Linked DNA regions of Oreochromis niloticus. The protein of the gene in region 1 interacts with the protein of each later gene in a pairwise test. Links are inferred from orthologs where the notes say so. Each region holds a gene or a part of one and is shown in the gene's direction. Other genes may lie near its edges. The genes, in order: zmym2 and foxp1b.

Region 1 (12,533 bases):
TGCCCTGTGAAGGCCTCAGAGGTCGTCTAAGAGAATATTGGGAGCAACAACACCATGAAGTCCAAAGAACACACCAGACAGATCAGGGATAAAGTTATTGAGAAATTTAAGCAGGCTTAGGCTACAAAAAGATTTCCCAAGCCTTGCACATCCCACGGAGCACTGTTCAAGCAATCATTCAGAAATGGAAGGAGTATGGCACAACTGTAAACCTACCAAGACAAGGCCGTCCACCTAAGCTCACAGGCTGAACAAGGAGAGCGCTGATCAGAAATGCAGCCAAGAGGCCCATGGTGACTCTGGACGAGCTGCAGAGATCTACAGCTCAGGTGGGGGAATCTGTCCATAGGACAACTATTAGTCGTGCACTGTACAAAGTTGGCCTTTATGGAAGAGTGGCAAGAAGAAAGCCATTGTTAACAGAAAACCATAAGAAGTCCCATTTGCAGTTTGCCACAAGCCATGTGGGGGACACAGCAAACATGTGGAAGAAGGTGCTCTGGTCAGATGAGACCAAAATGGAACTTTTTGGCCAAAATGCAAAACACTATGTGCAGCAGAAAACTAACACTGCACATCACTCTGAACACACCATCCCCACTGTCAAATATGGTGGTGGCAGCATCATGCTCTGGGGGTGCTTCTCTTCAGCAGGGACAGGGAAGCTGGTCAGAGATGATGGGAAAGTGGATGGAGCCAAATACAGGGCAATCTTGGAAGAAAACCTGTTGGAGTCTGCAAAGGACTTGAGACTGGGGCGGAGGTTCACCTTCCAGCAGGACAACGACCCTAAACATAAAGCCAGGGCAACAATGGAATGGTTTAAAACAAAACATATCCATGTGTTAGAATGGCCCAGTCAAAGTCCAGATCTAAATCCAATCGAGAATCTGTGGCAAGATCTGAAAACTGCTGTTCACAAACGCTGTCCATCTAATCTGACTGAGCTGGAGCTGTTTTGCAAAGAAGAATGGGCAAGGATTTCAGTCTCTAGATGTGCAAAGCTGGTAGAAACATGCCCTAAAAGACTGGCAGCTGTAATTGCAGCAAAAGGTGGTTCTACAAAGTATTGACTCAGGGGGCTGAATAATTACGCACACCCCACTTTTCAGTTATTTATTTGTAAAAAAATGTTTGGAATCATGTATGATTTTCGTTCCACTTCTCACGTGTACACCACTTTGTATTGGTCTTTCACGTGGAATTCCAATAACATTGATTCATGTTTGTGGCTGTAATGTGACAAAATGTGGAAAAGTTCAAGGGGGCCAAATACTTTTGGAAGCCACTGTACAGACAGACATTCACTCTCACATTCACACCTATGGGCAATTCAGATTAGCCAATTAACCCATCCCCACTAACTGCATGTAGCAACAGTACTAATCACCGTGCCAACAGTTACCTGAATGGTCCTGAATGGTCCATTCAGGTCCAACCGGAATGGACCATTTGATTTTTGTGTGTGTGTGTGTGTTGTTTTTTTTTTTTTTTTTTTTTTAATAATCATGTGTTTTAAAAACCGGTACAACACAGTAGCTCAGATGTATTTAAGTTTATATGGTTAAATACTTTAATGTTCTGGTGGGGATGATAAGATTGGAAAGTCGCTAAACAATAACAGGCATCTCACAGAGTAAATGATAAGATAAGATAAGATAAGATGGCCTTTATTAGTCCCACAGGTGGGAAATTTGTTTTGTTACAGCAAAAGTGCAAAGTTATGTAGCAGAAATTAGAAAACACTGGAATGCAATAAAATACAATAAAATAAAATAAAATACTATATACAATAGAATAAAATAGAATAGAATAATATATACAATAGAATAAAATAGAATAGAATAATATATACAATAGAAGCTTTAAAATAGAATAGAATAATATATACAATAGAATAAAATAGAATAGAATAATATATACAATAGAATAAAATAGAAATACAAATACTATATACAACTGAGTAGGAAAATACAAACACAACTTCGTCAGAAGAAGAATTGCACATATAGCAGTCTTATTGCACATGTGTGGGTTTGTGTGTTTGATCAGCTGCAAAAGTCTTTATTGTAGAGTCTGACAGCAGTGGGGAGGAAAGACCTGCGAAATCTCTCCGTCCCACACCGTGGGTGCCGCAGTCTCCCACTGAAGGAGCTGCTCAGTGCTGTCACAGTCTCATGCATGGGGTGGGAGATGTTGTCCAACAGGGATGACAGCTTAGCCACCATTCTCCTGTCACTCACCACCTCCACTGGGTCCAGAGGGCATCCTAGAACAGAGCTGGCCCTTCGGATCAGCCTGTTCAGTCTCTTCCTGTCCCCAGCAGAGATGCTGCCCCCCCAGCAGACCACACCATAAAAGATGGCTGAGGCCACCACAGAGTCATAGAAGGTCTTCAGGAGTGGGCCCTCCACTCCAAACGACCTGAGTCTCCGAAGCAGGTACAGCCTGCTCTGCCCTTTCCTGTAGAGGGCGTCTGAGTTATGAGTCCAGTCCAGTTTGTTGTTCAGATGAACACCAAGGTACCTGTAGCTGTCCACAGCCTCAATGTCCATACCTTGGATGTTCAGTGGTTGCAGTGGAGGATGTTTGTGCCTGCGGAAGTCTACCACCAGCTCCTTGGTTTTACTGGCGTTGATCTGGAGGTAGTTCAGCTGGCACCAGTCCACAAAGTCTTGAGTCAGTCCTCTGTACTCCTTGTCGTCCCCATCAGTGATGAGGCCGACTATTGCAGAGTCATCAGAGAACTTCTGCAGGAAGCACTGGGTGGAGTTGTGGGAGAAGTCTGCAGTGTAGATGGTGAAGAGGAACGGAGCCAGAACCGTTCCCTGTGGGGCCCCCGTACTGCAGACGACCCTGTCCGACACACAGCCCTGAGTCCTCACATACTGTGGTCGGTCGGTGAGGTAGTCCAAAATCCAGGTAGTGAGGTGATGGTCCACTCCAGAGTTCTCCAGCTTGTCCTTCAGAACCGAGGGAAGAATAGTGTTGAAGGCACTGGAGAAATCAAAGAACGTGATTCTCACAGTGCTCCCAGCGGTCTCCAGGTGAGCGAGGGAACGATGTAGGAGGTGAATGATGGCATCATCCGCTCCAATGCCAGGCTGGTAGGCAAACTGAAGTGGGTCCAGTGATGAGCTCACAAGGCGCCGAAGCTGAGCCAGGACCAGCCGCTCCAGGGTCTTCATCAGGTGGGATGTCAGAGCCACCGGCCTGTAGCTGTTGAGGTCCTTGGGGCGTGAAGTCTTTGGCACTGGAACAACACAGGAAGTTTTCCAGAGCTGTGGGACTCTTCCCAGCCTCAGGCTCAGGTTGAAGAGGTGCTCCATCACACCACACAGTTGGTCCGCGCAGGACCTGACGACCCTCGAGCTGATGCCATCTGGACCCGCTGCCTTCTTGGCTTTAATCCTCCTCAGTTCCCTCCGAACCTGGGTGGTTGAGAGAGACAGGCTGGAGCCTTGTGTTGAGTGTGTATTGGATGCTGTTGTTGGGGGTGGGGAGGAGTGAGCAGGGTGAATAGAGGAGGTGTGAAGTGTCTGAGGTGTCAGAGGTGGAACAGCAGCAGTGGGGGTGGGTGAGTCTGCAGCCGATGTTGGAGACTGCCTCATGGCTGAATCAAATCTGTTGAAGAAATGATTCAGTTCATTTGCCCACCTCACATCCCTCCCAGGCAGAGAGTTCTGATGTTTGTGGCCTGAGATGGTTCTGAGGCCTCTCCAGACTTCACCAACATTGTTTTGCTGAAGCTGGTTCTCCATCTTCTGCCTGTAGCTGTCCTTCCCATTCCTTATCAGTCCCCTAAGCTCTCTCTGCACCCTTTTCAACTCCTCTTTGTCTCTGGATTTGAAGGCCCTCCTCTTCTGCTTGAGGACAGCTTTAATTTCTGAAGTAATCCAGGGTTTGTTGTTGGAGAAACACCGTACAGTCCTGGTAGGTACGGTGTTATCCACACAGAAATTAATATAGTCAGTAATGCATGTAGTAAGGCTGTCGATGTCCTCACCGTGGTCGTCACAGATCACCTCCCACACAGTCGACTCAAAACAATCCTTAAGAGCCTCCTCGCTCTCCTCCGACCATCTCTGCACTGTGCGGGTGGCTGGTGGCTCCCTGCGCACTAAGGGCTCATACACAGGGACAAGGTGCACCAGGTTGTGATCAGATCTGCCTAGGGGAGGGAGAGGTGATGAACTGTATGCCTCTTCAGCATTGGCATACAGTAAGTCCAGTGTTTTATTGTCTCTGGTTGGGCAGGTCACATACTGGGTGAAGGTGGGCAGTGTGGAGTCCAGTGAGGCATGATTGAAGTCCCCTGATATTATGAGAAGGGCTCTCGGAGATTGTGTTTGCAGTCTGCTGACCACAGAGTGGAGAGAGTCACAGGCTGCATCCGCGTTGGCCGAGGGGGGGACATACGCTGTTATCGATGGTGATGGCATGTATAAACAGAGCATACTAGTCAAGCTGAGTGTTTCAGAGGTCATGATGGCGAGGGGTTCACTGCTCAGTCAGAGAATTCTTGGAAAACTAGGCAGGCTTTCGAGCAGCAGTTTAAAAACAGACTTAATTCTGTTGCAGAAATCACAGCAGGGGCTCAGCTACACTTGTGAAAAGGATCATCATTGACCACAGTTCATCCCCAACCCACAGTGCAAACTGGGGGGAAAAAATAACATTTAAACAAAAATCCACTAATACCACAGGCTGGACCCAAGATCACTAATCAAGGAGGTTTATTACTGCACATATAACTTGTACACCCATGATCATCACTATCATATGAACATGCTTTAAAGCAAAATATCCAACATCTGTTTCAAACAGTGTCTTGCATCTTTAAGCAAGACCATGCCAAACCACCAGCAGCATGTATCACAGCAGCATGATGGATTTTACTTCTCTGGGAAGCTATTTGAGTGAATCCATATGAGAAGGAAGGACCAACAACACTGCACGCTTATGAAAGAGATTTCAAGCCAAGAGCCCTGGAAAAAGACATGGAGCTTTTTTTTAAATTTGCACTTTTTAAAATAAAGATGTTTTAAGGAGGGAGTTTGCTACCAGTTGTTGTTAATTAATGCAGTTTTTACGAAATGTGTTCATAAGTAGTGGAGCAGTAGAGACATAAAATCCTACAGCTAAAATGCAGCATGTATTCACACTGTACAACAAAGTTTAACTTCCAAACCGATGGTTTCCAATCACACCACTAACAAAGTTGTCAGCGTCATTTCCTCTGTGTGTTAGTGGTAATAAACTGCTGGTTGGTCAGTGTAACTCAGGGCAAAAAAAAACAACAACAAAAAAACGCACAATTGTTTATTAAAACCGCGTGAGTTACAGAGAGGCTGATTACATAAACACTGTGAGTTCACAAAGCCTGTGTGGCACATCATCTTCGATCTTTATCGAGGATCGTATTTAAAAAGAGATCATTTCAGTGTGATTTGCGCCTGTGAGAAACTGAAATCTCCGACATTTTGTGCAGCGGCGCACAGACAGAGGATCTGGCAACCAGACACTCAGCCTCATCAAACTGACTTAGAAATAAATCCGTGTATCTTCCATCCATTTCTACCCCTCATCTCGTGAGTTCAGAGATAGCCTGCGCGTAAGGAGGGTAAGGAGGTGGCGGTCCTTTTGTAATTTTTCTCTTTGATCTCTTTGGGCAGCCGACCCTTTAGTGAATCTGATCTGCACGTTTCAGTGTGACATTTGAACGCACCTGATCCGCCATATTTAACAAACGTGATCACCGGCTCATTCCACCTTTGAGCCACCCCGATTTTTTTTTAAAAAGTAATAACAAAATTACTACTAAACTATAGATTACCCACCTTTACATGTAATAATTTGCACATCTGCCTACTATAATCAGTAGTTACTTAAAGTAGTGTCATTTGATTTGGGCTTAATTTTGCTTTGTAAAGGTGTGTGCGGCATTTTTCTAACACTCTCTGGTGGGCGTCATTAATTTCCCGCCGCCGTTTGGTTTCTGGTGAGTCTCTGGGTGAAATTATGAGAGGAAACCCATGTTGAGCCGACACAGCTGAGAACATGAACTCTCTCAACCCGGATCCTTGCTCCTGATTGGATCCGAGCTGTGTACTTCAATGCGGCTTGTTTAAGCTTTGAGAAAGGGGACCCCCGAAAAAAAAAAAAATCAAGAATAACTAAGGTGCATTTCTAGCAGAACTGGCCACACTTGACCTGGGATACATGATATCCTTCGAGGATAAGGTGCGAGCATCTTAATGGATTTTTAATTGCTTCCAATGCAGCCACTGATTGGACCTCCTGCGCCTGCGCAGGAGGAAAAGAAAAGAGGGTGAATCCTAAAAGAGCTCTCACTCCGTATTTACTTCCGGTTACAATGAAAATAAGAGGAAGTAGTTGTTTTGGGGTTTTTTTAGGAAGTTTGAGCTCGCGGTGTATCATTTTTATTTCAGCCGTTAATTTCTGCTCAACTGTGTTTTAGATATCGGAGACTAACATCACTATAAAACTTAATACGTAATAACTGTTAATAGTGAAAATTACAGACTCAGGCCGATTAAATATAAGATTTATAATTACATAAACGGCTAGCTGTGAAGGTTAACAGCGGGGCAAAAACTAAGGGGTGATTATGGAATTTATACTCTTATTTGAGGTTTTACCAGCAATTGTTTACTTGTAGTTTCAGTTTATGCCCATTTTCAGTGTTGAAAATGTGCCAAACAAAAAATCGTTTGGCCGTTTTAAACTGCTTTCCTCAAGTATGTTAACATCCTGAGGTTTACATTTCATAACAGCTTACATATTCTGTTCAAAATTGAAGGATGCCCCAAACAGCCTATTGCTACATCACAATTAACTATGGTGGAAGGACATTCTTTAGTAAAGATGAAAAAACAAACAAAAAACAACAGCATTATAATAGCCAACATTTGGCTGTATACCCTCCCTCACATTTATCATGAGTCCACAGAGTAACAATTACTGACTTAATAAAACCACTCCTCTGAATCCCCTCTCACCGAGAACAGTGAATAGATATGTTGCAGGTAGACACAAACCATAAATGAGTTCTCAGAAATCCTGTTTTTGTACGTGAGTGAACGTGCCGATGACGCGTAGTGAGTGCTCTGCTCAGTAGATGATCTTGGATATAAACTTGTGCGCACGCGCTTCCGCGGATTAATGTCAAGGCACAAAAGTGGCGCTACACCGTTTTGAGCTCTACTCCGGTAAGCGAATTTCACAGCCGTTTTTTGTATTCTACTTTTACGCCTAATTGGCCAAAGTTTCGGGAACTTGTGCGGGGGGGTTAGCCGGATGCCCAGGGAGTTTCTCGGTACTCACACTGGGGCGTGAAGACTCATTAAGGGATGAATAAACAGTTAATTTGAACAGATTTGGTCCTCTCCGTCTCTGCGTGCTGTAGCTACTGCCGCCTCTAGTCTTCAGTATTGTTCAGTTGGCTAATGGCGGACGGCAGGCAGTGCTGTTTTCCGCTGGGGAGGAGGGAGGTGTGTGTGTGGTGGGGGGTGGGGACAGAATTGCTCCGGTTGTTATAGTAATGGGTTCATACCTAGTTACAGTTTAGGCAACTCACAGGATGCTCACTTAAAACACGGTAAGGGAATTTCTCTGGGTCTTGTTGTTTACCACCGCATGACACAAATGAAGCCAGTTCATGTGATATATGAGAGTAGGGCGCCCCTTGCGGTTGCCGAGTATATTTTGCCAGTGATTGCGCCAGGGTGGACTCCGCGTAGGGTAACTTTCCAATTAAAACCCCCATCGTCACAGGTATCGCAGAAATCGGGTTTTTTATTCGAAACCCGGGTCTGTTTCGCTGGCACGGACATGTGTGCGCCTATAGAGCAGATAATCTGGACAAGAACAGGGGTTGTGGAAGGGGGGAAACACGTTTTTTTTCCCTTTTTTTTTTAGGTGTTGGGGACTGTGCTTGTCAGTGGCACACTGCATTAGCCTATCTTGAGAAACATTTGCTTCTATTTTAATCTGTTTTATGCGAGTAAATTGCGATGATTTTTGTTGGTATTTTAACAATGGCGCAGTCTGTGTCTGCTCTCCTCCCCTCGATCTGCCGCTAATCCAATGGCTGTTTGCGGCAGGGGAGGGAGCGGAACGGAACACCCTGAACCACGTTTCTCCTGGACCCCAACTTGGAAGCCAGTCTAGCCTCTCCTTTTTCCCGGGTTATTTATGGAAGAGCTGCGCAGCTCAGGTAGTGCTGGTTCCGTTTATTCTCACTGATCAAAGTTTTGGACCTGCTTTTTATTGCCAAGTTTGTTAAATATCAATGCCGGGGAAGAGAAATGGAAGCTAGATCGGGGTCGAGTGATAGTCACCGTTGTAGCCGGGGGCATGGGCCGGATTTGGTGCTGTGGTGGTCCTTCCAAGCGGTGTTGATAATCAAGGGCACGACCAGTGGGACTCCGGCGGCCCCCGAAGGCTTCGTACAGCCTGTCCTTCATTGGGTGTTTTCTAATAATTCACAGGAGGTCTCCTCAGCTATGTATAGCAGGGTTTAGTTTTGCGTTCAGGTAACCGGAATGGGCCATTTGATTTTGGGGTTTTTTTTTTTTTGATTTTTTTTTAGCCCATCAGCTGGCTTGGGGATGCTCTGATGGCTGCGCATTACGCATCACTTCTCAGTGACATAAGTCTTATATAATAATCCCAGGCGTTTAATTTGAATATTTTATTAATCGGCTGTTGTCTGCACAAATACTGGCGCAAACAGCTTTCACATCTCCACCTTGTGACCTGCTGGGGGGAGAGAGGGGGGAAAAAAATGTCAACTTCTGTGGCTTCATGCGCAAACTGATGCAGTTGGAAAGGTAGATGAGCACCTCTGTGAGGTGGTGATGTGGCGCAGGCGTTGATTTAAACTGCTAGTCTTGTTGAGGTGTGTGTGTGTTGCATGGAGGCAGGCTCGGCCACAGCGCCATCCCACCTCTCCGTCCACCTGGTGTTGACGTTGGGAGTCAAGGTTGCATGTCAGAGCTCATTAATGCTGGGTCCTCGTTTTCATCTCATCCACGTGAATGCAGGCTGTCTCGTAGCTCTGCATTGCAGTCTGAACTGAGTCTAGACCAGGCTATTTTTTCCCCCCCTCAGAGCACTATTGAGTTGCTTTGCACATAGATTCCTCTGTTGGTGGAATATCAGGCCAGAAAAGCATGAAGCATCTATCTGCAGCACAGCTTTGCTTTGCTTTTGGGAGGTCTTGCAAATGGGGAATGGGTGCCTTTGGGTCTCCTGGCTAGTATTTGGACTCCAGTTAACACCATGGTTACGGACATATGTTATTACCTTAGCACAAGTTGTGTTTGTAGAGGTTAGCTTGGGTTATAGCTTCTAAAGGAAGAACCTAATTATAGTAAGTCAGTGACTTGGAATTCAATCCTTCTTTTGAACAGTCAAGCATATTGTATTGATCTTGAATGTCATTCTGTTTTGCCTTGTACTTCCTGTCACATGGTCACAGCAAGTAAGTGTTCCTTATTCGGCACTAGTGCTCTACAGTGGAGCAGCTCTTTATTAGCAGCAAACATATACAGCTCTGATATAATGACTCTGCTGAGTTTGCAGCAGTGGCTTTTAACAATGTGAACTCCTATATTTCTCTACCAAGCATACAGTTATCAGAGAGTCTTTGTACCTTGATAGAAAGTATAGGACAGATATGCAGCCCGTTTTTGCATATTGAAATTTTTTTCTTCGTCTTTTTTCTGCTTGGAAAACACTTGCAATGAAGAAGTACAATTTAAATAAGCATGAGATCACTTTAGTCATTTGTAAAGCAAAATGGCAGCCTGGCTGGACAAAACGGGGCATTTGAAAGCATCAGAGCAGACTGTGAGAATTTGTAGCGGGAATATATTTTGTCACTTTTTAGTTTTTATGAAGAAATTTGGCGAAATAATTTGTTTTTGTTTTTTTTTTCTGCTAATCTGCTTAAAAATCTTGGAAAGACATGGGATGGGGTCAGTCTTTGTTAATTATCCTGCAGCCGATTTCCTGAATTAGTTGGAAACTTAATGTGAGCGCACTGCTTGACTCCACATCACGACCATGTGTCTCACGTGCTGCATATGGTGCTAAGAGAATTGAAAACGATAGTTAAAAAACTTTATTTGAAAATCAGGTCAAACATTTTTAATTTCAGCACCAATATACTGTTGAGTCCCTTAATATTTGACCAAATTTAATAATTCAACTTTCATAGAGCTGTGTTGTCAACGTAAAATGTGGTAGAGGCAGGGTATTGTATGAGCATGCATGGCTCCCAAAAGCAATGGGTGACTAGTCTTTCCTTACAATGTGACAGAAGCCTGACACATTTTCTCTGGCTCAAATGTAAGTGGAAAATTGAACATAATCCCAGAGATGGGTTTCATGTTTGATACTTTGAGAATCCTTTGCAGGGAGAAACCACCTGAAATCTGGAACCATCACCAAACAAGGAGTTTCCTCCTCTGTCATGGCCTTTGCTGCAGCTGTATTGAGTTCCTGTTTGTTCATAGGGCTTTCTGCCTTTAGTTTTGTCTACAGCAAGTGAAGTACAGCTTGATTGGGTTGACATCAGGTGAATGAATTGGTTATTACAGAATATTCCACATGAATAACTCCAGTTTTCTTAGTATGTCTTGGGTCATTGGAGATTGTTACTGTGAAGCACTATCCATCAACTTTACTGAATTTGGCTGAATCTGAGCAGCACTGTATCCCAGTAAACGTCATCTGGCTGCTTCTGTGTTCTGTCACATTTTCAGGGAAGACTGGTCACCCATTGCTACTGAAAGCCGTGCATGCTCTTACATTACACTGCCTCCTCCATTTTTCACTTCAGATTGTCGTCTGTTCCGTGGCTTCTCGCTACTTTTATCTGCCATCATTCTAGTACAGGTTGATCTTAATTTCATCGATCTGTTCTTGAGTCTGGTCACTGGTTTGGTGACCCTTGTCATATGTTCTTGGTCAGAAATCACATTGTCTTCCAGCCTTTGTCACCTTTGCATTTGTGCATCTATTAGTGGGCTTCTTATTGATCATAAGCTTTTCTGGGCCTAAACTACAGCCACCTTCAGTAGCTTCGGTTATTTTGGCCTTCCTCAAATAATTTTCATCTTCAATATGTTAACAGCCGGCTGAGACGGGTAAAAGCCAGAGGACTAACTCATTTGAGAAAATTGTACATCTTTGTCTTATGCAGCTCTTGGATCCTTCTTGTATATTTTGTGTCATCGTACTTCTTTATTGTGATTCTTTGTCCAATCAGTTTTGCAGCATTTGATCAATTGTTTAACTCATTGACTCGTCTGCTAATTGGGCCTCTGGAAGCAGCAGCCAATCTTTGGGGGAGGGGGGCTTCTGGTGTAGCCAGCTAATACCCAGTACCAGGGGTTCCTACGTTCACTACAAATGGATATCAGAAAGCTTTAAACACCCAGCAGTCCTCTTCCCTTTCCTACTTTTTCTGCACATGAATTCAACCAAATGCAAATCTTATTACAGAGATTAGCATTTGGTTCAAATGGAGCAGGCTATAGCATTGTACACTGTTACTTCTATCAGTAGTCACATCATCAATAAGAACTGGTGACCCGGTTCCATTCGTGACATACATGCCCAAACGCTATAATTGGAATTCTACAAATTTACACTGCCGAACAGCCTCTTGAGTAATGCCAGCTAACCAGATAGCAAGTAGGGCTGCAGTGATTCGTCAGCATAATCGCTGACTTTTATTGTCAATGCGTCATATACTAATACCACGTAAATGCGTTTTTGTAACTGCAATACACTACAGGAACATATGGGGGCGGTATCACCTCTATTGTCTGTCGAGACTGGAGTCAGAACTAATGAAGAAGAATGTAGTGTGACCCACAAAACAGGAGGATGGAAGAAAATGGAAACAGATTTTATTTTATTTTTTTTAAAAGTCAAAGCATTTCAAAGAAAACAGAGTTGAATGCAGATTGTGGAAAGCAGAGCTTTCCTTCCACAACAGCATTAATGCAGCGCACAAGCATTTAAAACGCCGGCACCCTAGAGCTGTGACGTCAGCTCTGAATGGGCCAGTTTTAGAGAGTTAAGTCATCGCGCTGCATTGATACCTTGTTTATGTTAATGTCTGAATAGTAATATTTATGTTTGTAAAGTAATGTTTATGTTAGCTTGCCTGTTGAAAACCTCTCAGGATGAATCTTGCTAAGCAAACACCTTTTTAGTTTTGTTAACTAATGAGTCAAATGCAATATCAAACCATTAAGCAGGAGTAGCTAAACTGCCTCCTAGTTTTTATATATTTCTATATAAAATATATAACCAAATTTGTAATTAGTAACGGTCTTTTCTAATTCTATTTTGTTCTGTTTTACTAGTATTAAGCACAGGTGTATAGATGAGTTTGTCCTGTAAAGAGGCCCATGCACCTTTCGAATGGCTAAAGTCATGACAGAGTCATCTTTAGCATGGTTATCAGCAGCTGGGAACATCATCTCACGGAT
Region 2 (12,522 bases), on another chromosome or scaffold:
AGGGGCTGGATTATTTGCTTAAAAGAATGTTACTGAAGGTCCTGCTTTTCCCAGATTTAGCAACGTTTGTAAAAGGAAAAAGTATGAATAAGTAAAAAACTGCAGATGTGACAAGTTTCAGTTATCACGACATCGATGAAAAAAAATTACATTTATACTGTAGGTCATAATTCTGTCCCAGTCATACATTTTTATTTGTATTTTTTATTTTTTTTGTCACAAACCTTTTCTGAGTCTCATCAGTTTCCTTCACTAACCCTGTTCCCGTGCCGTGGTTTTATTGCAGTGAAGGGCTTCAGTAACTGAAATGCTTCTGGTATGTCAGCACCACTTTTATAGTTCAACTTTGGACGGGTTGATGGATACGAGAGGAGAATTTGTCCTTTGTAAACATATTTTGCAGCGATACGGGCAAAGTAAATAAAATGGAGCCAGAAATGAAGTGCTTATCACTGGCGTTTCATTTTGCACAATACAAACATCAATAACAGGCCCGTTAAAGGAAATTAATGTTATTTCATGGGGAATGTCTCGGTGTATTAAAAGCTTCTGCATATCCTCAGCCACTTTGTGCTAATTCATTCTGGCAGCGCATTGATTTTAGTCCTGACACACCTTGTAATCGTAAGACCTGATTTTAAATACTCACTGATGGTGATTACATGACTGATAACCTCAGCTTTTCAGTCATGAATTTTTGGACCTTCCATGAAGCAAGTTTGCTACTGATAGCATTAATACTGGGATTAAATTAGATGTGAAAGTTTCGTCTGAAGAGAACAACTTGCTGTTGCTGTTTGGAAATAAGATGCAGGCCTCAAAATCACAAGAGGCTAAAGGATGCAGAGGATATTCTCATTACCACATATAATCTGTATAACATACCTCGTGTAGCTTTCAGTAAACTTTCTCAGAGACCAGAAAGGCTCAACCCATCTAAAATGACCTCATTCACAACACAAGTAGTTGCTGCAAAGTTCCTTGTAAGTTCACTGACCCCTCAGTCTAAATACATGTATGAAATGTTTTGGCAATAAACACTGCAACATTTCTCCTGTCTTTAGTGAGCACTGTACAAGAAGCTGGAGCGAGTGACTGTGAAATTAGGACTTTGGGGCTCTGAACATGTCTAATACCCAAGATATGATGTAAATATCCCTTGTGCAGCTCCTGGCCGTGCACAGATCCATTCCTAGATTTAGTTAAGTTACATGCTTTCTGTTTTCCTACTGATCGTGCCTGTTATGAGCAGCCAGTTGAAATGGTTTATACAGTTGTTTGTAGCTGGCCATGGGCACAGTGTGGACATAAAGGGGTGGACATGGTCAGCAACAATGCTCAGTTGGTACTAAGGTCCCTAAAGTGTGCCAAGAAGATTTCCCCCCCCCCACACACACACACACACACCGTTACACCACCACCACAAACCTGAATTAGTTATACAAGGCAGGATGGATCCATGCTCTCACGCCGTTTACATCAAATTGTAAACGTGCACATGGCACAGCAGAAATTGAGACTCATCAGATCATGCAATATTTTTCCAGTCTGCTATTGTCCAATTTTGGTGAGCTTGTGTAAACTGTAGGCTCAGTTTCCTGACAGGACTGTTACATCGTCTGCTCTTCGGCTGCTGCAGCCCATCTGTTTTAGGGTACAATGTTTTATATAATCAGAGATGCTTTTCTGCATACCTTGGTCTATAACAAATTATTTTGCCCTACTGTTGCCTTCGTATCAAAATACCCACAAACTGGAAAACCCCAGTCGATCAGTAATTCTCGGATCAGCCCGTCTGGCACCAACAACCATGCTTTGTTCAAAATCACTCAACTCACCTTTCTTCTCGTTTTGGATCTTGACCATGCCAACATGGTTAAATGCATTGAGTTGATGCCATGTGATTGGCTCATTAGACATTTGCATTAAAGAGTTAAACTAGTATACCTAAGAAAGTGACTGGAGAGTGTATAATAAGTGTTGTTATTTTCCTGCTAAAATGTGAATTACTGACAAGAAGACTGCTTGTTAGCAGTTCCTCTGGTAACAGTGACACCAAATGTCTTTGTTATCACACTGGCATTAAAAGAGCTGAAAGGAAGCTTTTGTGGGTTCATGATTGCATGTGTTTGGCAAAGACGTGTGATATGTTTCCAATTAATATGGACTGTATATGAACATTTCTTAAAGGGTGGATGTATATTCCAAATGCAACATTGTTTAGGTTAGCTTTAACAGTTTAAATAGAATTTAAATAGAGTTCAAGTACAACATGGTAAGATGTGTCAAGACGACACATAACTATGAATGGTTAAAACTGAAGCCTGTGCAGTGCCTTAAATCTGCATTCTTTTAAATGACCAGCAGGCGGTGACTCACACTTGCAAAAAGAGGAAGCGTTTTAAAGGGAAGTCTGGGGGGAAACTTCCCTCTCATAATGTGTGGTTTCAGTAAACAGTTTCCTGATGTGTTTATGTTTTCAGTCACTTGTATATAGTCTTACTTAATGCATCATCATCTTCACTTTGTAAAATATGGTGCCCAATAAAGTAAAGAAAACTATGCATTGTTAATACAGCACCGTAAAAAAAAATACAAAGTGCTTTGATAGACAGGCAGAAAATGAATACTCAAAGGTCAGATTTAAACAGAAAGCAAGATGGCTAAACAGCTCGAAGGAAAAAAGGCATCACGTGTAATGGAATCAAAGAAATACATGCCTAGAAAAATGTGTTTTAACATGTGATTTTCAAGCTGGTTGCTGGTTGGTAACTTTATCTCCTCAGAAGGTCATCCCAAAGTGAAGGAGCCCTGATAGCAAAAGAATTTTAATCTTTAGAGTTTTAAGTCTCAACTTGCACCTGAGGATCGAAGGATTTGAGCTGGCTCGTTTTGCACGTAGACTTCACTTTAAACGTAATCAGTAAAATCCTAAAGTCGTTTCCAAATCGTACCGAAAACCAACAGGAAAAGGTCAGGATGGGGATAACGTGATGCTGTCTGCTAATTCTAGTAAAAAGCCGAGCTGCTGGATTCTGAAATGGAGAGCAACTTCCTATTTATACCAGAGGGAATGGCATTGCAATAGTCAAGCCTTGAGACAATAATTGCACAGACAACTTTCTCCAGGTGTGGATAAAGCAGAACTGTATGTTTTACTGACATCTGGTTCAAAGCTGAAAGCTGAACCAAACTGAACACCTACGATTCTGACAGGGCTTTAGCTTAGTAGGTAAAGCCAAGAGAACTCCCTGTTGTAGATGTATGAGTGTGTACCTGGGTTTCTCAGACAGATCCAGTCACTGGTCATTATGTCTGATTTAAAACAAAAAACATGCTGATGGTAAAAATGCTTAGCTCTGTAGACCTCACTACAGCAGCAGCCTCCCCCAGCAAGATAAACTGGAAATGCACATTACAACGTCCAAACTTCCCATATCCTAATATGATTTAGCATCCACAGAATGCCCAACAACAAGCCTGATCTATAGATGGACACCAGCACATCCCACAGGACTCAAAAGATCCACTGCCAGTGTCCTCAAATCACAGACCACCGTTAGACGGATGTTTTAGCAGCATCATAGGAACTTATCTATAAGCTATAAAACATTAATCAACTAACCCTACTACAGCTTTCCTTGAGTAAAGGATGCAAAAAATGTCCCAAAAACTACATTTCATATATATATATATATATATATGTATGTATATATATATATATATATATATATATATATATATATATATATATACATATATATATATATATATATATATATATATGTATATATATATATGTATATATATATATATATATATATATATATATATATATATATGTATGTGTAGTAATGTAATGTGTATATATATGCCATTTTAACAGAGCATTATCTTACTGACTAACTTTTTGGCTCACAAAATTTGGAAACACATAAGGCCGGTGCAGTCTTGCCATTTATATTTTCAGAGGCAGTCTTTGGTAACCTAACCCCTGCTTCTTCTTCTTCCTTTTATTCATTTAACAGTTCTTTATAGGTCATTATCTGTACACTTCCTCCTCAAGTCCTCCTCCTTTCATCACACTTTCAATGCTACAGCCCATGGCAGCAAGGGGAAAAACACCGTATGAAAGCCATCCGCCCCTCCCGTTTGAAATCAAGAGGAGCTCCTATTCATTTGCTTAATTACCTAATTAACAGAAAGCTAATTACTTTGTTGTGTGCACGCGTATGTGTAGAGAGGCTGTTACGTAACTGATAGTGATCCTCAATTAATTTGTAACTGCACTCCATCAAGTCGGGGCCTTAATCCGCGCGACACATCACCAGCATGACACCAACAAAACAGGATAATAAATTCCGACACAGGCACATGGCTGCTGGGCTCCGCTGAGCTCATAGATCCAGTATTGACATGCAGATCAAGCCCGTGAAGGAATAGAAAGCTGGGATTGTGTGTTAGATTAACGCCATAAGACTTTATAGACATTTGGATTTTTATCTTTAATTACAGCAGACAATCATGTTTACAACCTTATGTTAATCAAATGAAAAGCTGTAGAAAATACAACTCAGAGTAAAGTGTAAGTCCTATAGGAATTTTATGGTGATCATGTAGTTGCATCACAACGAGAGTGCAGACACATTCAAAAGCCAGATGTGCATGTTTTGGGTGTCAAAGTGTGAGTCTGACAGTTTAGTATTTGAACTGAAATGCAGTGTAGGCTCACAGGAGGCTCTTCATTTTAGGCCCCAAAGTGACTGATCTGTCTGTGAATGCTTATAGGCTACAACAGGTAGCGCACCACAGAGACGTATACTCTCTTGTGTGAAATCTTATCTTTGTTTTGGCCATTTGCCTGCATGTAATTGTTTTTATTTCTTCAGTTGTGAACACTTAGTTTTAGAGGAAGGTCCCGACATTACAGCAAAACACATAACTCCTGCTATCGGCAACTCCTAGTTTGGATTCAGGAGACACCCTCTCTACTTTTAAGATTAGGCTTAAAGCTTTCCTTTTTGATAAATCATGTAGTTAGTCCTGCTTTCTTCCCCTCATTCCCAACCGTCATGGGAGATGGTTGGCCTTCCCTGAGCCTAGTTCTGCTGTTGTTTTTTTCCTGTTTAAAAGAGATTCTTCCAATTGCTTGCTCATAGGGGTCATCTGATTGTTGGGGTTTTCTCTCTATTATTATAGGGTCTCTGCCTTCATGATTTGGTTTTATACAAATGAAATTGAATTGAAATGAACTGAAATAAATTGCTCAAAGGACAGCTGTCTTGTGCTCTGGCCTTGAAGGGCTGTAAATTTAGACAACACCCATGAGCTACGTGCTATAATACATACACTGTAAACAAAGCATTTTTAGAACATCATCTATTTTCTATAACCTGCACTTCTACACTTTACTGATGCAGTTTATTTAATAAAAACTAAACACATAATTGGGATCTTATTATACCCTCTTTAACTCTTTTATTTTAAAAATGAAACCTGTTTGTTTTTCTTGTTAAATGTTTAAAGCCTTTACAGACCTAGTTTATGTGAAGCATTTCAAGAGACAACAGGAAGTAGTTGGTAATGCTGTATTTTCCTGTTTGTTACTGTCACTATGAAGTAACACGGACAATGTCAGCTCACTGTGACATTTGGTGCACTGCTGATGGTGTCAGAGGTTACTGCAGTAGGGCAGAAGGTTGCCTGACAGTCTCTCAGTAACATAAGAAATAAGAAATCTGACATTTAGGTGCAGAACTGTAGACAGCAGCCTCCTGCAGGCGGCGCAGAAATATTATTAGGACCATGACATAGTGTTTTTTTATTTGTGTTAAGTGGAATAATCAGTGTTTGGTGCCAAGTCAATGAGCAGTATATGTATTACGCTCAGTGACAGACACCAAACTCCAGTTGGTGAATCACAGGAAAACTTACCAGGCAAAAAACATATATAAAAAGTTTTATTTTCATTAGTAATAGTATATTAAAGGTTTAAGTGCTTCATTATTTTAAATACCAGTGCAATGGGATGCTTCAAACTTACAAAGTTTATGCCAAGACTTAAGTAACAAAACAAAAAAAGCATATATTAATGGATTATGAATATGAGAGAAGCTTTTGGATATGAAATTGTGTATGTTTTGTTAGGGGGGTTGATTATACGAAGTCAAATATCAGTAACCTCAAAATGCGAGTGTTTGTTCAGTGGAAATATTAGAGTAATTCGTCTCATGACAGTGTGCTACCAGAGGGTGGCGCTCTCTACTAAGAAACAGTCTCTCATCAGAGGTCTATCAGCAGCACTCTGCTCTGATGCAGCCATGATAAATGCAATGTCCTTTACAGTGAAGTGAGCTGTGCTTCTCTAATATTGATCAAGGCCAAAAAAGAGGAATGAATCAAAGAAATTCAGAGTATTTTCTGAGGGCACATTGATGCTGCCTTACACTCAGCGTTAACTGGACACTTAAACCATCCCAGTCTCCTCTCCGGGGCATTTGAGTTGTGGTTGCATTTGTATAATTGCTTTTGTGTAAGAGTGAGCAAAACTTTTAAACCAGAACAGTTACTCCAAACAGTGAAACAACTTTGTTGAAATGTAGGTGTGCTGACATTCCCTTTAAAATATCCAGAGGAGCTAGCTTACATGTTAGAAAATGATAAGCAGCCCATACTGACAAGAACCTGGACTTTGGTTATCTATACTGTCATTATATCTACCCCACCCCCCACCCCCAATGCTTAAAACTCCTCAAAGCTGGAGATTAAAACATCTTTGATGAGTATGTCAAAGCATTTCTGTCTTTTTTATTAAGTGAGGCTTTGGAAGAGTTATGATGAACCATAGATCAGAAAATATAATAGTAAAATAATAATTAAAAAAAAAGACAGGAGAGTTTTTCTGAAATAACAGAAGTTCATTCAGCCTCAGTTATAATTAGTGAGCTTAGAGATTTTAGCTTTTCTGACAGCCCCCTCTCTCCTGTCACATTTTCAGCTAAAACTAATGCATATCATTACATTTCCCCATAGAAAGGACCTACTAAGTGCTACTAAGTGCTACTGAAATGTACTTGTGACTATGATGTTAGGATCTGCAATGCAATGAACGTTGTTTACCTCAGGTGGATATGACGTCACGGATTTGGAAGATCAAAACAACAACATCCAAATCAGCGATTCTTCCTTTTTTTTTCCTCCTTCTTTTCACAGCGTGTTAAAATCTAATAAGAACATTAAGCAAGGAGCTCGTGCCTTTTCCTGCGAGACAGACTGGCAGGCAGCGAGTGTGAAACTCCACATTTCGCTTTATTTCGACGCCCTCGGTAAGATTATCTTTTAAGTTACTTAGTTAGTTCCCCCCCTCCACCTCCCGGGCGGAGTAATATTCACTGTTTACTGTGTGATTTGTTGTTGCACGCATTCTCGGTACACAAGCTCGCGTGCACGGCTTCGTTATCTCATACTAGCGAATCGGTACCCTCCGCGTGCGCCCTGTTAGCTGCTGTAAAGCGTTTTTTTTCCGTTCTGGTAAGTTTCACTACTATTCTAATGTTAACGTTAGCTTTGCTGTTTCGTGTCTAGATACCTGCTGCGGCTGCTGCAGCTGCACTCGGATACTCGCACCGAGTTTGCCTCGGTTTTGTCTTGCTGTTTGCCGAATTGTTTCAAATAGCGAAATAAATAAACACCTGTATTATTATAATGTAGGGCGATAGGTAGCGCCGTTTTAAGGCAGCTGTACCGAGCGGCTTTTACAAGAATATCTTTACGACTCTATATTTATCCTCTGCTTTTTTGTTCTTTTTCTTTTTTGGGAAAAGTTGGGTTTCTAACTTAGTTGAGGCTACTCGTGAGACCCCGGGGGGAAATGCACCTCTCGTCCAAAAAAGTATTTTCAAAATGAATGCTACATGTTTATAACGTGCTGCTTAGCAATGGCCGCTAACAGACCGTAATTACCACGCTACCTATTAAGGATGCGCTGTAAAAGTTGTTTTTTTTGTTCAACTTTACACGGTGAAGGGGAAGTTTTGAGTGCCGTGATTTCTTTGGAGTGAAACCAGGGATGGAGCTTTTCCCCCACGTGTTAGCTGTGCTCCAAACTCAGAAAGACCGGAGGAAGTCAGAAGTGTAGCAAGCCCTCAACTTTGAAAGTTATCATTACTTTTATTTGGCTGTCCATCAGTTGCGTTATTCAAGCGTGTTCTTTCGGTGTGGCTTCCCTGCTCAGCGGTAAGGCTGTGTACCCAACACAAGTAAAAGCGGATATTCATTTCGTAACGTTTCATTAACACAAAGGAATTACGGAGTTAATTCCTAATTATGGCTGTGGTAACGTAAAGTAGCACTTTAAAAGTGGTGAACGTTATATTTTTCAACTTTTATAGTGGTTTGCACAGGATGTGAGACAATGGTTGTGTTGAATAAGATGTGCTGTGGGTTACAGTTGAACATTTTCATAAATGTAAATTGGCTGGAGCTGCGATCACTGTACGGAAAATGGAGATTATTTTGTTTGTTAATTTAATAATTGCAGATCAAGTTGTTGCAATAGTGTAATTAAACTTTTTTTTCAACTAATAGACAATAACATTATTATTTGTGCAAAGGAATGTTGTACAGCACTGTAGCATTTAAGCTCACCTATTGCAAACACGTTAAAACATTTTTTAAAATTATTTTAATGTGTATTTTGTAACAGGGGTACTACAAGCAAATAAGCACTATTTACAAATACAACAGTGGACAACTAATAAACAAATTATCTGATGCACTCAGTCTGTGATAATTTTTAATATTAGGCAGAATTAAAATAGTGCCAAAAATTATTATAGTTTTTTTTAATAACTAAAGTAAATAAATATAAATAAGTCTTGCCCTAATGTTTCATACAGTAAGATTGCAGCTGGCAACTAAAACTATCTGAAATTTTACTAAAGGGAAACTGCAGCTTTAACAACTATTGCTGGCAGTGCTCCCTCCTTCTTGGTCTTTGGATTAGTCATTGTCTGAGGGGAAAAAACACTTTTTTGTAGGAGAAGTAAAGTAAACAGCCTCCAACAAGCGAACCTTGACAACCCAGATTAAGGAAAACATTGGAGATCAAACAGTGCTGCTGCTGGGCTGTTGTCATGAGCTGCCTGAGAGAGAGCTGCAGACTATTTGAACAGGCACTGGGGTTTGTGTGCTCACTTATGCAGAAATGGACCTTCGCAAATGCTGACCCAGGTTTCCAAAAAAAAAAAAAAAACTCAGGATGAACTTTCTTTGCAACTTTTCCAGGGCCTGCTGTTTGACACGGCTATTACATACAGACATTCAACCTTCTGCTGTTTCTGATGGGAACGACCTAAGTGTGTCCCCCACGCCTCCGTCTAGAAACGAGAAAGACTGTACTTTCCTGCTCCGTACTGAAACTGAATAAATTGAGTTGGCGAGGGGGGGGGGGTTTAAAAAAAATAGATTGAAATTTGAGGAAGAGCAGCTGTATGCATTGTAATGACGCAAGATGCTTAACACACCAATCTGTGATTTTGTATTATTTGGAAAGCCCTTGTTACTAGTTTGGCCTCTTCAGGCTTGGGGTAAGGCTCTTCTTTGTAGAGAGCCGAGGTTCAACTGGTAAGAAAGTAATCAGTCACTCATGCATTCAGTGCGAGGACTCCCATCCCTGAGTGGAGCGGCCCTCTCTTTCATCTGACGGCTCAGTATTTGTGAACACACATTGAAATACCCTGTGCTGGGTACAGAGGGGCTGTAAACTGACTGTGCACCCGAGCTCGCAGCTGAATGATAAGGAGAGTTATTTTCGGGTCCAGTGTGGGAATAAGATTCTGCTTTCACTATATTGTTTCCTTCAGATTTATTTGCCTGCTTCACCCCTCATTTGATTGCAGATTACAAGACGCCCTCAAAACCAGTTGCTCGAAACCTTTTTTTTTTTTTCCACAAACCAAGACAAGTGACAGATGAATAAAAGGGAATTTTCTGGTAAATGAATTTGTTGTGTGATTTTTGCATGTTTGATTCACGCGCCACAAAAGGGGGAGAAGAGTACCGGCAATATGAATATGAGTGTAGCATGCTCATTAGTGCTGTGTTACATGAATGGATAACAAAGGGAAGCAGAACAATATTTCCAGGGTAAAGGTTAGTGTGTCCCGGCCCCTGTGGCGCGGCCCCTGGCAGACTGTTCTCTGTGACAGCAAAGGCGATTGGTCAGAGAGTGGACGGCTTCAGGTGAGCTCTGCGCAGCTCCTCGGTCTCTATGGAGACTGCCAAAACGCTCAGGATGGCTATTAACTTGGGCAGCCATTAATTACTGTCTTCTACTGTCATCTGTCCTTAATAAAGGGAGGGATGCTGACAAAAAAATGTCATCTGCCTGCACGGGAGGAGAGAGAGCATGCAATTACAATCAATTAACTTGAGTTACAAAATGAATTTACTGCTGGTGTTGTGTTTCAGGAATACAGTGCAACATTGGAGCACAGCCTGTTTATTGCTGGGAAATAAATTATGCTTGAGCTGTTTAAATATATAAGAATATTTCCTTTATCATCTATGGTGTTTTAAAAAAAAACCACTTGTTTAATTCAGGAAGTTGGAGATGACCGTTTTACATTGGATTTCAAAATAAAATGTATTTATTTTAATCACATAAGAGAAAGCAAACAGGAACAAACAGTTTAAGAGAAGGGACACTGATGTTTTTAGAAGTGCAGCAGAACCCATCCACATCTTTTTAGTAAATAATCAAAATATTCCAAATTTAGCTAGTTATAAAAAAATGAATAGACAGTGTTATGAATTGTTGCTGGTAGACTTATAAGAATATCCAAACAGTTTAATATGATCATTGTGCTCTTATTCCTACGAGTCCATGTTTTCCTGTCGAGTTAGCCTCTTACAATGCAGTAGCTTAAAAATCAGAATTTCCTCTGTAGTACACCACCACAGAAGGTTTGGGGAAGGATGCAGGTAAGCTACAAACATTTTGGTCCAGACATGAGGGGCTCAGACATATGCTGCAAGCTGTGCTCAGCTGCCAGGCTGAACCTCAGCACCTGTTTCTATCAGCTGTCCAGTCTGTGTGTGTGTGTTTATGATGTGGCACGGTTGGGCTGATAATATCATTTTTTAGGGATTTCTCTCCAAAATGTATTGATAATCATTCACACAGATTAACTCACATTTTCAGCTGAATTTAATCATGCTTTTTTGTGTCAATGAACCGTATTTCTGCAACATCCCGGTTTGTTTTGCTTACAGATTTACTCACACATTACTCAGTAACTGTGACCTCACCATCAGTGTAACATTATGATACAAATATGTTATAAAACAAATTTCCCACGTGTGGGACTAATAAAGGTTATCTTATCTTATCTTATGTTTATTATTAATATTTGCCAGTGTAATAACAACATAATAGCATATTTGTTTTATACACTACCTAAAGATGTACCACATATGTGTGTGTTTTGAGTGTATAGAGGTTGTTTACTGACCCCCAGGTTGTGGCATGTTGGCATAACCCTAGATAGTAACATGCTGTTCTGTTTGTCATTCCAGGACAACATGGACAGGAAGTGAAGCCAGCTCTGAGAATAATCTAAAGGCACCCGTGACAGTTTGTAACATCAGAACTGTAAGTGGTTCTCAACTCTGTTAAAACTTCCATAGTTTATGTAGGCACTGACTTATGATTTGAAGCCTCTCTCTGTGTGATTCGTCTCACAGATTAGTATTTTTTCCTTACAGTGTGAAGTGATGTAGACCGTAACGTTTGTTGCTTTGCTTGTCACTACAGAAAAAAAGATAAAACAGTAATCACAGATGAACTGATTTAATGTTTGGATAGAATATCAGGAAAATCCTGACATCGAAACCTGACTCAAGCATCAATGACAGCAATGTGATCTAAGTTACTATGCCATATATCAGCAGCAGTGAATCAGGTGCAAGCAGAGAGCTAAAGGAGCATGGAAGAAGCTAACAGGAAAATCTCAGCAGTTTGGGGGGTTTTCATGCTAGTTATGTCAATAGATTTCATCGCTTAACCTGCAAACTGTGGTCAACTGAGTTGACGAAACTGAAAAACTGCAGTGATGCTTTCTTTCTCTTGCTCACTCTCATTGTTTTTATGTTTTGTGTTTACTGCACTTGTGGTAACATTAAGTGTTGTTGCCAGCTCTTTTAATATTTTTCACTTCATTCGTATCCTCTCTCCACTCCCTGTAAACATGTGTGCGTGTGTGTGTGTGAGGAACAGTAAAATAAAGTGCACTCAGACTGAGTGGAGGAAAGGTGAAACTACACTACTATACATGACCATAAATAACAGCTGCTTACACTGAGGTGAGAGGAAACTAGTGCAAATGAATTAGATGAATAAGATGAACACGATTTCTAAACTTTGTATTTGTTTTTGTCCCATTTTTATTTACTACTTTATGCATAAAAATACAAAGTCAGTAAAATTGATGTATTTATTTGTTACATTTTATTTTACCAGGT

Evidence for each region.
Region 2: the proteins of zmym2 (region 1) and foxp1b come close enough for resonance energy transfer, tested with the Homo sapiens proteins (2 studies listed by BioGRID). The link is inferred for Oreochromis niloticus from reciprocal best matches to the Homo sapiens genes ZMYM2 and FOXP1.

The regions. Positions count from the first base shown.
Region 1 is NC_031987.2:27,442,191-27,454,723, forward strand, and holds the start of zmym2 (zinc finger MYM-type protein 2), read left to right. Parts: upstream 1-7,766; 5' UTR 7,767-8,020; coding exon 8,021-8,239; intron 8,240-12,533. UniProt on the Homo sapiens protein: Involved in the negative regulation of transcription.
Region 2 is NC_031970.2:32,337,564-32,350,085, reverse strand, and holds the start of foxp1b (forkhead box protein P1-B), read left to right. Parts: upstream 1-7,385; 5' UTR 7,386-7,530; intron 7,531-7,922; exon of another isoform or gene 7,923-8,235; intron 8,236-11,577; 5' UTR 11,578-11,653; intron 11,654-12,522. UniProt on the Homo sapiens protein: Transcriptional repressor. Can act with CTBP1 to synergistically repress transcription but CTPBP1 is not essential. Plays an important role in the specification and differentiation of lung epithelium.